Linked DNA regions of Drosophila melanogaster. Changing the gene in region 1 together with any one later gene gives a genetic interaction. Each region holds a gene or a part of one and is shown in the gene's direction. Other genes may lie near its edges.

Region 1 (3,831 bases):
GCCACGCCTATAGCTGCGGGTGCGACGGCCATACCGGCAGCGAGCTCAGCGTTATTGGGATGCGGATTAGCCACTGCTATAGGGGGAATCGGATTTCCACCTGAAAACGAATTTGGGCTTTAAGGGAGCTGTTACTCTCCGTTTCGAGCCTTACGCACTTGCGTCCAATTCCAGTGGCGGATCTGCATTTGCTTCCGCTAGATTCGTTACAGACTTGGATTTTACACATTGGAAATCAACATGGCGACTCTTTGCTTCCTCCTTCTCCCAGGACATGTGGATGAAAGGTCGCTGCACATAGCTGTAGATGACTTCAGCCCGTCCACCGGGACGCCTTCGGATCTTCTCTTTGTGGGTGGGGTATCCCTCTATGCCACAGCGTATCTTCTTCAGACCGCGATCCTTCATCACCTGTTTGGCCACATCGCGGTTCTCGATGTACTTGAAGAATCGGTGCATGGCAGTGCTGTGCACGGCTGCGTTAGAAATGTTAGTGTTGCTTCCACTTCCGTGATACTAATGCAAACACATTTTTTAAATACACTCACTCTGACAATACTCCTCGCCCATCTGAGGCGGAAACTCTTCATCCCACTCGACCATATCGTCTTCAAGGAGCACCACAACGTGACACTCTCGATCCCCGCGCTGCGCCGAGGCCACCATGAGGGGCAGAATTAGGTCCTCAAGAAAGAGTTCAAATTGTTGTCGCGCTCCTTCGTTGCTAAGCTCGTGGAGAAGGCCTCCTTTATGTCAAACATAACAGAGGGCATGTTACAAGGAAAGAGACGGAAAACAAGCAGAGGTGGCCACAACTAAGGTTCGCCCTGGCAGGAATAGTTCGCGTTATACTCACTTAGGTTCTGGCAGCGCACCGTGGTTGCGTCGAAGGGAATGAGCAGATAATCACAGGCTTCTTTTAGTTCCGGTACCGAAACAGTGGGCGGGCAGCGGATAACACCGCTTTTGTAGTACTCCAGAATGGCTCTGAACACTAAGTGCGAAATGCCGTCGGCAACGTCGTACTCGCCGCGCTCGTTGGTATGAGCGAACTGGAAGCCGGAGCCGAACATCGTGCCAAGCATTGTGGTGGGATGTGCTGTAAGCAGTGATTGCTCCACCGTGAAGCGCACACCGTCCACCAGCATGGTGATCCTTTCGGGAGGGAGCGGCAGGCGGCCCATTCCGGAACCAGTTGCCTGGCAGCTGGGAGATGCTCCGCAAGGGGATTTTATGTCGTGCTTGGGCACAGCACCTCCGCCTGACATATTGTGCTGCGGACGGTTCAGCCGGCTGCGCTCCTTCAGGATGCGCCTCCTCCGCTCCTCGGCTGTTTCGAGAACTTCCTCGCTGCTGTCGCTACTGTACGTGTCCTGCTTCTGGGCAAGGGGCGCCTTGCTACTGATATTGCTACTACTACTGTTCAGACTTGGAGTGTTTGACATGTTTGTTGCGTTTGATGAGCCACTCTTCAAATATTCCAGTACAACACCGTTCCACCGACTTTTCGAGAGAGACAAAGACAATCTGGCAGAGGGCGGTCAAATTAGCGAGGCTCCGTTGAAAAAAAGCCTGCTTATCGCTGCATCAGAGGTCCGATTAAATAGTATTCACGTTACCTTTGTGCGACGCGACTTTTTCCTTTTTACATATAGTTATAAATATACATATTTTTTCTTGTTGGTGCTGGAGATGGGCTCCTGGGTGCGCTCAGTCGATAGTTTTCCTCTGTAATCACAATAACATATTTTTAACCGATATTTATCTTCAATCGCGATGTTTGTTTTCAGCTTATCGGGTTTTTTTTAACGAATAAAAAATTCCTCTCTAAAAAAATAAAAAGATTGTAATTTCATCATTTCGACATTGTTTGTTACATAATTATTAACTTCTATTAAGTTAAGAAAATCTATAATATTTAGAGGTAATAATAAGAAAATTCTTAATTAACATATCTTAACTTAATGGAAATAACTTTTTTTTTCAAATACAAATTAATATGAAAATTCTGTGGAAATTAATTAAATGTTGTTAAAACAAAATACAGCGTTGGGCCGAATGCAACTCTGTATATACCCAAGCTGTGTATCGATACCGACCACCGACTAAATGCACTCGATAGTTTAAATTTGCAACCGTTCATCATGGCGATCTGAGAAAAATAATTTTTGCTCAAAAATAAAATAAATAATCAAAAGAATTGTAATTCCTGCGAACGCAAATGCGATTTTGGGAAACGTGAGTTTGATACGGACGCTTCACGAAATGCGAAGACTGTGAGCGGTCTTCGGTCAGTAACAAGTGCTTGGCGTGTGTGTCTGCGGCGGCAAAAAACCCAAATGTAAAATATATAACAAAATCCCAACTCCCCCAAGAATGGGCAGTGCGAAAGTGGCGCCCTGAGTGGGCGTGTCGCGTGCGGAAGCGCTAGCGACGAGCAGAGTGGCTGTCTAGGTTTGCGGATAGCAATAACAAATAAGTTGTTATAATAAAAGTGTAAAAAAAAGTGCAAAAACTTTGATTGCTTCTGAGTAGTGAAGTGTCGGAGGGGTATGCTGGGTGCCGTGTATAAGCTGGCGGATGCAACACGAACGCCACCTGCTTGCCTCCTGCTTGCACTCACGCGCATAGTAAGCGCGCCCTTAAACGAGCGTGCTATGTGCGAGCGGGAGGGCGCCTGTGGGTTTTGCACCAGTCACCTATTGGCAGCTTGAACGTTTTTCTATATTTTTTGTGTATTTTCGGAAAGCATAGAAAATGTGGACACTTACTGGGAACGCTCCTAATATAAGCGAATAACCCACAAACATATGCCTTCTCTCCCACCAGACTAGCGAATGCTCGTCGAGAATCCAAACCAGTGAGCCAAACGCCAAAGAAAAACTTGCAAAAGTCTGTGGATAAACAACGAACAATAACAAAAGGCAGCAAGCGGAAGGTGGCAGTGGAAGTGGACTAACTCGCCCGTGGAGAAGTGCGGAGCACACAGGACTGCAAAGTGGCGTCGCTACTGGATATTAGGGCTGGGGCAGCAGCGGCGTCCATGTCCACGGGGCACAAAGGGTGGACCACCAAGAATCACGACCGCACCACATCCAGGAGAGCGCAGCAGCAGCAGCCGGTGTGGTGTCGCCAACTGTGGCCTTAAGCATGTAGTAAGTAAATTTGGTTAGTAAATAAATCGCGTGAAATACGTATTGAAGCTGCTTTTGCCTTCTTACTTCTAGGTCTTGCAGCAAAGAACCCGTTCTCTAACAAGCACAAGACACAAGGGACAAGGTACCAATCGAAGCAAAAACACACAAATATCCAATCAACACCAATGAAAAATGTCACAAAGAGGTAAGCGCGGTAATCAGCAGCATCACCAGTCGCACCATCCGCCGCCGCAACAGCATCAGCGCAAGGATGTTGAGCCGCAGCCGCCGCCCACCAAGCGGCGCAAAGGTAGGCCACCTAATGGAGCCACTACGGCAGCAGTAGCTGAAGTGACTGGATCGGGTCCAGCTACAGGATCGGAGCGTGTGCCAGTTCTGCCTTTGTGCAAAAGCAAACATGAAGAGCCAGGGGCGGAAGCGGGGGGAGGAGGACAAGGAAGAGCCGCGGCAGGCGCTACCAGCACTAGCAAATCGAAGTCAACGAAACTGGCAAAGTCGGCAAGCAAGTGCAAGTCGCAGGGGGCGAGTTCTAGTAGCTCCTGGCAGGCGCGGTCTGTAGCGGACATCAAGATGTCGAGCATCTACAATCGAAGCTCAACGGAAGCTCCAGCTGAACTTTACCGGTATTAACAGACCAGCAAACCAATTAGAAACGATTCAATAATATTCAAAT
Region 2 (3,600 bases), about 16 Mb from region 1:
TCTGGCGCGTCTCAAGGTAACTCGTAAACAAATGAAATCTTATCGGGTTTGGCCCATAAAATTGGCGGGCTTTCTGCCGAACCTCGCGCGTTTTTCGCTTGAACTTCCAAGCTGAAGATGGAGATGAAGATCGTTTCCAGGTCTCTCTCGTACTCTCCATATACACTATCTTGGGGCATTCATATTTTTTTTAGAAGAATATTGAAAGGAATAATCACAAAGGAACAACCCAAACAAAAAAAAAAAGACTAACGAAACAGACTTTTTTGAAAACCTCACAAATTGACAATCAAGTTATCAAAGGCACGCCAAAAATACGAAACTTTTTTTTTAACATTGTTACATTACTTTTACATTATAAATGTATTGTAGTATAAAAATTGGTGTTAAATAAACATTACATTTTCTTGCAACTCTCAAGCATGTATTACTATAAAAGTTTATTGATAGACCCAAATCCATTTAAACTTTATGATCTGTAATTACCAAGGTAATTAGCGGTTTATTAGCCGATTTTATAAGCCAGTTCGCCACTAAAGCTTTGTTTCGAAGGGCATTTAAAGCATCGACTTTAAGCTCGATCTTCCTTTTGTGTTAAACTCTTTTCTGGATTCTTCTCCAGTTGTTCTTTTTTTGGCATGCGCTACAAGAATAAGGCCCAAACATGAAACCATGGCAAAAGGAGAAGGTTGAACGATGAAGGCCAGGAGGAGGCGGCGGCCCAAGTCCAGGTCGTTGTGGCTAAGGCAGGAATTAGTTTCCGGTGCCGTAGTAAAAATGACAAAAACAACACGGCGGCAGCAAAAACGGCCGAAAGGATGCAACGGAAGCGGCAAGAGCCGCTTGGCTGCGAAGTCCCCTTTTAATTTTTTGTTATTTTGTTGTATTTTATTTCGTTGTTGCTTTTGCTTTTGCTTTAAGCCAAGCACGCGAGCCAGAGACACCTTGCCATCCGCTCGCTCTCACCAATACAGCCGCGCTTAGTCACAGATGCATCTCACAGATGCGCGCACGCACACAGGCGCAGCAGCAATGGATGCTGCAACCACCAGCGGAAAAAGGCAGCAACAACATGTTCATTCATTCATATCCAGCCCACTCTCTTTCGTGTTCTCTCACGTTCGGACGCTGCCGCTCATGCACTGGGAACAAATTCGGTTGACCAAATATGTGAAAAGACAACAGTGGGTTCAAAAGACTGCTTTGAATACTTTTTGCGTAACACACTTTCTCTTTTAAAGATTTCGTACTACTTATGATTTTACCTCTTTGTTATAAGATAATAACATTTTTTGTTAGATGTACATATTTATTTGATTGAAAATTTATACTACTTTATAAAAATTCTTATACAACCAATATAATAAATAATTACATTTTATTGAATTGAGAATAATAAACAAATTTTTTTTTTTTTTATATTACTATTAATTTCTCTGTTTAATCGAGCATTTTCTCTCAGTGCACAGACACGCACATACCGGCAGCGACGCGAGCAGCGCACTTCTCTGCCGGCTTCAACGGCTCTCGTTCGCCGCGCGCTGTTCGTTTTTGGATTTTCTGTTTGATCAGTTCGAAAAGTGAGTTGGTCGAGCGAACAACGATAGAGCGAGGGCAGAGTAACCGAGGCGATACGATACGATATAATATAGCATCGGTACCATTGGGTATACGTTCCAGGAGCGAAAGAAAAGACGAAAACGAGACGAGACGAAAGGCCACCGGAGACAGCGACGTCGCGGGTGTTAAGTTACTAAATAGCAAACAGAAACTACCGACCACCGACCGATTGCAGTGAATGAAATATCCAATAATTTCGAGTGACATTCGCCACAAATCAATCGATCGTTCGATTTGAAACCTGATTTGTAGAGTTCGTTTCTGCCAGTGTGTGTGTGCATGTAAGCCATGGGTTCTGGGCGAGCGAGTGAGATAGAGCGAGAACACTGATTCGACTCGATTCGATTCGATTCGATTGGATTTGATTCGAATTCAATTACAAAATTCATTGAGTGTCAATTACAAACCGCAAGAAAACAACACGCACGGAGATTCGGAAAGATCCCAAGATCCAAATACAAGATCCAGATCCAGATTCTCGAACATCCAGAGATCCCAGCCAGAGTCAGAGTCATAAATCATGCCTACGACATTGATGTTGCTGCCGTGCATGCTGCTGTTGCTGCTGACCGCCGCTGCCGTTGCTGTCGGCGGCACGCGACTGCCGCTCGAGGTGTTCGAGATTACGCCGACCACATCCACAGCGGACAAGCACAAGAGTCTGCAGTACACCGTCGTCTACGATGCCAAAGATATTTCAGGAGCAGCGGCAGCAACTGGAGTGGCGAGCAGTACAGTGAAGCCCGCCACCGAGCAACTGACCGTTGTGAGCATTTCCTCCACAGCGGCTGCGGAGAAGGATCTCGCCGAGTCGCGGCGACATGCGCGACAAATGTTGCAGAAACAACAGCAGCATCGCAGCATCATCGGCGGCAAGCACGGCGATCGGGATGTGCGCATCCTCTACCAAGTGGGGGTGAGTAGCTAGCAAGTACTAAATTCATTTGATTAGCCTGGCTAATTGCATGTTTGCATTGATCGGTGGGGCTAAGTAAAAAAGCATAAAATAAAACACAAGGTACCAATGAAACCAACAACTGGCAATGGCAGGTTGCATAATGCAGGCAACAACGTCAGCAGACACCTGTTCAACTGGTTGCCATTTGTAAAATGCCCACGCCAGCGGTATCAACGGCAACAGCAGCATCTACACAGAAAACAATATTGATCGATTAGATAATTTCAGTCAAATTAGGGAAAAGCAGATCGGCTAACGGTCTGCCATACCAATTTATCAAAGAACTCTCAAAACAGTCTCTTATCTTCGGATTTGTAGCTTAATCAATTAATCAGTCAAATGTATTATAGCATAGATATATCTTAAATGTCATCGCGCAAGTCAACCTACGATTTCTTTCTCTGCACAGCAGGTTTTGCAATGCAACTTTTTTGGGCTGGGTCCGAGTTTTAGTTCGTTATTTTTACATATTTTTTTGCTTTTGTTCAGAAAACTCTGTCTATATTTAGCAGCCGCCCTATGGCCATTACACTTGACACCCACAAAACCACTATTCATATATCACCATACGCATATGGCACATTTAATTGCAGCGGCCACACTCGCTCTAGATGAAAAATGAAAGTTGTTTGCAGTCGGAGAGCTCAACACATCAACTGATCTGTCGCATTTGATCAATTAAAGTCGCAATTGCCATACAACCGAACGATATGAGCGATACCAAAACCAATTAGCCGGGCGGGTCAAGAGTTCAATGCTGGCTATTCATGACTAAGCCGACGGTACACCAAAAAGTTCTTGCCGTTATCTTTCCCCTTAAATCCGCTACAATGCGAATTCAGATCATAGGTCACCGCGGTTCCATTGTTCTCACTCCCGATCTGGCCATAAATCAAGTGTCCATTGAGAAAGAGAGGGGCTTGGATCGGTCATATATCATGTATCGTATATCTATTATGTCAAATGTCATACGACAGAACACGCCCTGAAAATCGAATTCTTGCTTGATGTTTCTACGAGGC
Region 3 (3,831 bases), on another chromosome or scaffold:
GACATTTGCCAGAAACAAGTAATGACGAGTCAGGGCTGCTTGGCGTCAGAGGGAACACCAATCCCCGCCGACCTGGAGGTCACTTGGCAGAGTCATAGCATCATTGACTGCCTTGCTCTCCGCAAGGTGCGTGCAGAGATGAATTTAGCTGATCAGAAGGCGGCCAAGAATCTTGTGGATCGCGTTGAGGTGCACCACAAGACTTTGCAGACGGAGGAGGCGGAGCGAAGGAAATTGATTATTGACAAGGCAAATTCTGCGAGGAACTTGACTATTGACAAGGCAAACTCTGCGAGGATCTTGGCTATTGACAAGGCAACCTCCGCTAGGAAATTGACTATTGACAACTCAACCTCCGCGGGGACATTGACTATAGACAAGGCAACCAACGCGAGGAAATTGACTATTGACAAGGGAACCTCCGCGAGGAAATTGACTATTGACAAGGCAACCTCCGCGAGGAAATTGACTATTGACAAGGCAACCTCCGCGAGGAAAATGACTATTGACAAGGCAAAATCCACGAGGAACTTGACCATTGACAATGCAACCTCCGCGAGGAAATTGACTATTGAGAAGGCAACCTCCGCGAGGAAAATGACTATTGACAAGGCAAAATCCACGAGGAACTTGACCATTGACAATGCAACCTCCGCGAGGAAATTGACTATTGAGAAGGCAACCTCCGCGAGACGTTTCTCTAGACCAAAAAGATATGTCAGCGGGTATATTTCCAAAAGAAAATCGATCGGAAAAACGGAGTCTTTGTCGCGCGGTGCATACATCCCCGATCCTGAGCTCAACCGCGCGATAGCCAAGTACGGTGTGTCTGCTAGTCAACCGTTCAAAAGACAGCATTGCCTTGTGCTGGAGAAGCATCCCGACAGAACCCAGATCCCGAACTCCAGAACCAACACCAGTGGCTGTAAGTCCGACGGCTCTTCAACACCCATTTGGAGAAGTGCTAGAACTGGTGCGGATCAGAATACGCAGGCAGAGAGTTCTGACTCTTTCAATTCCTCCAATTCCTTCGAGAGCTCCAGTCTGGCCAGCGATTCTCAAGAAAACCACGAGCTGTCCACGGCGGCAGGTCTGACGGCGGCCTTTATGCGGCGACACATGCTATTCCACCTCCTGGCCAGGAGGTTCAGAAGACGGTATCTACGTTAGCCACGTCGTAGCTCGGGTCGTATGTGCTGCGACAGCAAGTTCTCTAAATTGTATAGTGTATATGTATGTATGTTAGTAGCTGAATCGCGAAGAATTCCCGCGAATTTCCATAAAGTTCAAAGCAGTATTTAAATTTGCGGCTATCGATTACAACTAGCTATATCGCCGATGTGCAATGCTCTTGAACGCTAACCAACACTGTCAGTTTACCGCACACATGCAAATAGCATTGTGCATTGCAAATAAATTATATGTGTACACATATTTTTGTCAATTATTTCGTTCTAATTCATTTTAGGGTCCCCCAATTTAGGTATGTATGCAACACGACATACTGCTTGCAGTCACTGCATAACTCGCCAAGCACTGTAGTAATACCACCCCACCACGTTTAAACTGGCCGAATGCGCGCGTCGGTGTGACCGCATGGCTTTGCTGGCGAAATACCGGCCGCCCAACTAAAAATCCATTAACTTGTATTAACGTGTCAGACTCTGACTATGCAATCGCAATTGCAAAATCTTTAAGTAGTGGCAATAAATTAGTTTTCCTTCTGCACAAGTCCATCCCTAGGGCCACATCGTCCGCGCAGCCCTAGAAGTGGATAGTTCGAACGCGGAGTGGATCACACGCACCTGCCCGCCGCAACTAGTCAAGTTTCCCGCGTTTTCCATGGCGATTAAGTTGTGAAATAGTTATTTTGTTAATGTGTTTTAACCAACAACCGTGGCCGTGGTGTGGTCCTGGCTAATCGCAGCATCCCAGCGCTGTTTGTTCTGTCCCCTCGCCTGCTCTTTTGTTGTGTTCCTCAGAAAAGGGTGTATCGCGAACACACACACACGCGACAAACACTCGCACACAAACACACACGCCCAAATCATTTCGGCGGGAAACTTCATTATTTCTGTAATTAAGTGTAAGCTCTCGCAGTTACATGTCCGCGAGGAGCGCGGCGGCAAGCGCAGCATACACCGGCAGCCACTAGGCGCCAGGCCACTAGACGTAAACAGCGGCGCCAGGCCCGCAACGCCCCGGTTAGCCGGCTAGCTCCAATTCAGGCGCCTCCGTCTCCGATTTCCGACTCCAGGCTGTCGCCAGAAGCAGCGGCCGCCGCTGCAAGCATACGCAATCAGCCGGGACAGAGACATCATTCGCAGACATGAGCGAGCCTGACCCGCAGGAACTGGGAGCTGAGGTGGTCAGCGGATTGGTGGCGACCAGCGACGACCGCCTGGAGATGATCAACGCCGAGTACACGAACCTATGCCGGGATCTAAACATGGATCGGCAGACAGAGCTGCAGGGCTACGAGACGTACTTAGAGGTGTCCCAGAGGTGCTCCATGGAGGTGAGCTTCGAAGTGGCAGCAGTAGCCTCCAACCTAACGTCCTTTCTTTCATTCTTTCTGTGCATTGCCTGCCTAAAAGGGCACAGCCAGCCACTGGATGTGCTGCGCCATTTACACGGCCTGCCGAAGAACCAGCACACCCACGGTGACTGGCCAGAATGCAGTGGTCAAGGGTAATTGTGTGTCCTTAAACAATTTGCTGCGCTGCTGCAAGATGAGGTGGGTTGCCGTTTATGCCTGCAGTTTCACACCTAACCATTTCCACAATCCCCACCCACAGCATCTACGAGTTCAAGACCAAAATTAAGCAGTGGTGCGACATGGCCAACCTGCCTCAGGAGTTTGTCAACGAGATTGAGGATCTGGACCGCAAGTTCAGCATTACATTCATGCTGCACAAGCGTTTCCGCATTATTATGGACATGATCTTCTCGTGCCCGCCCAACGAGAAGAAGCACTCCAAGTACATGTGCGTATATCATCATGTCAGCCTGACCCCGTGTATATAAAAAGCTTCCCTCTTTGGAACAGTTCTCTGCATGGCAACCACGCCCACGGAAAGTGCTCGTACATCAAGCTGGACGACATCTGCTGGCGCCTGTTTCTCTGCGCCAAGAACCAGAAGCCGAGCAACACCGTGGACCTGGTGACATCCTACAATCTGATGATTTGCTGCATAGACCTGATATACAACAATGTGCTGGCCGAGAAGCGCACCGATCTCATCAACCCCAAATTCGAGGGCCTGCCGAGCAACTGGACGGAGCTGGACTTTCGTCACAATCCGCACTGCATTTTGTCCAACTTCTGTGACATGACCGAGGAGGCTAAAGCCATGAAGGCCACCACTTTCCGCCAGATCATGTCGAGCTTCTTTCAGGCTTCGGTAGGAGTGCCGTTTCGGATTTCCATTAAAACAATTAATTTGTTCTATTTTCATTTCGACCAGACCATCTACGGCAACAAGGACACTATGTTAGGCCTATTGGCTAACGAAAACTTCGAGCGCAACCTAAAGTCCCTCAACATCAGCTACGAGCAGTACGTCCTCAGCGTCGGCGAATTCGACGAACGCATTCTGAGTGCCTACGATGCGGGGGAACACACTGCCCTCAACGACCAGTCCCTGCGTCCGCCGGTTACTCCGCTTACCCGCAAGCAAGATCTGCCTGCGCAGCCCGCGATGGCTGGCGATAAATTTGAGCCCGTCCGCAACGCCACTAACAACGTGAAGCAGCTGAGCGCCTTCGGACGGATCACAGAACCCACGGACTTTGTCAAGTGAGTTGCCGGCTGGCCTTGTATTTGGGTTG

Evidence for each region.
Region 2: of rno (region 1) and aos, changing one enhances a phenotype caused by changing the other (phenotypic enhancement), as found in Drosophila melanogaster (one study listed by BioGRID).
Region 3: of rno (region 1) and Rbf, changing one enhances a phenotype caused by changing the other (phenotypic enhancement), as found in Drosophila melanogaster (one study listed by BioGRID).

The regions. Positions count from the first base shown.
Region 1 is NT_037436.4:198,086-201,916, reverse strand, and holds the start of rno (rhinoceros), read left to right. Parts: upstream 1-2,154; 5' UTR 2,155-2,454; intron 2,455-2,829; 5' UTR 2,830-3,155; intron 3,156-3,227; 5' UTR 3,228-3,329; coding exon 3,330-3,781; intron 3,782-3,831. Other genes in the region: mri (mrityu), read right to left, coding at 1-100, 159-476, 549-746, 857-1,445. UniProt on the Drosophila melanogaster protein: May function as a negative regulator of the EGFR/Ras/MAPK signaling pathway during eye development.
Region 2 is NT_037436.4:16,481,617-16,485,216, reverse strand, and holds the start of aos (argos), read left to right. Parts: upstream 1-1,566; 5' UTR 1,567-2,140; coding exon 2,141-2,536; intron 2,537-3,600. UniProt on the Drosophila melanogaster protein: Regulates cell determination; development of ommatidia and optic lobe. Is a signaling molecule involved in the process of axon pathfinding in the eye. Part of the Ras pathway regulating programmed cell death in pupal eyes; activated by lozenge (lz).
Region 3 is NC_004354.4:799,284-803,114, reverse strand, and holds the start of Rbf (Retinoblastoma-family protein), read left to right. Parts: upstream 1-1,635; 5' UTR 1,636-2,329; coding exon 2,330-2,518; intron 2,519-2,597; coding exon 2,598-2,737; intron 2,738-2,798; coding exon 2,799-2,987; intron 2,988-3,049; coding exon 3,050-3,404; intron 3,405-3,467; coding exon 3,468-3,799; intron 3,800-3,831. Other genes in the region: CG13359 (uncharacterized protein), read left to right, coding at 1-1,170.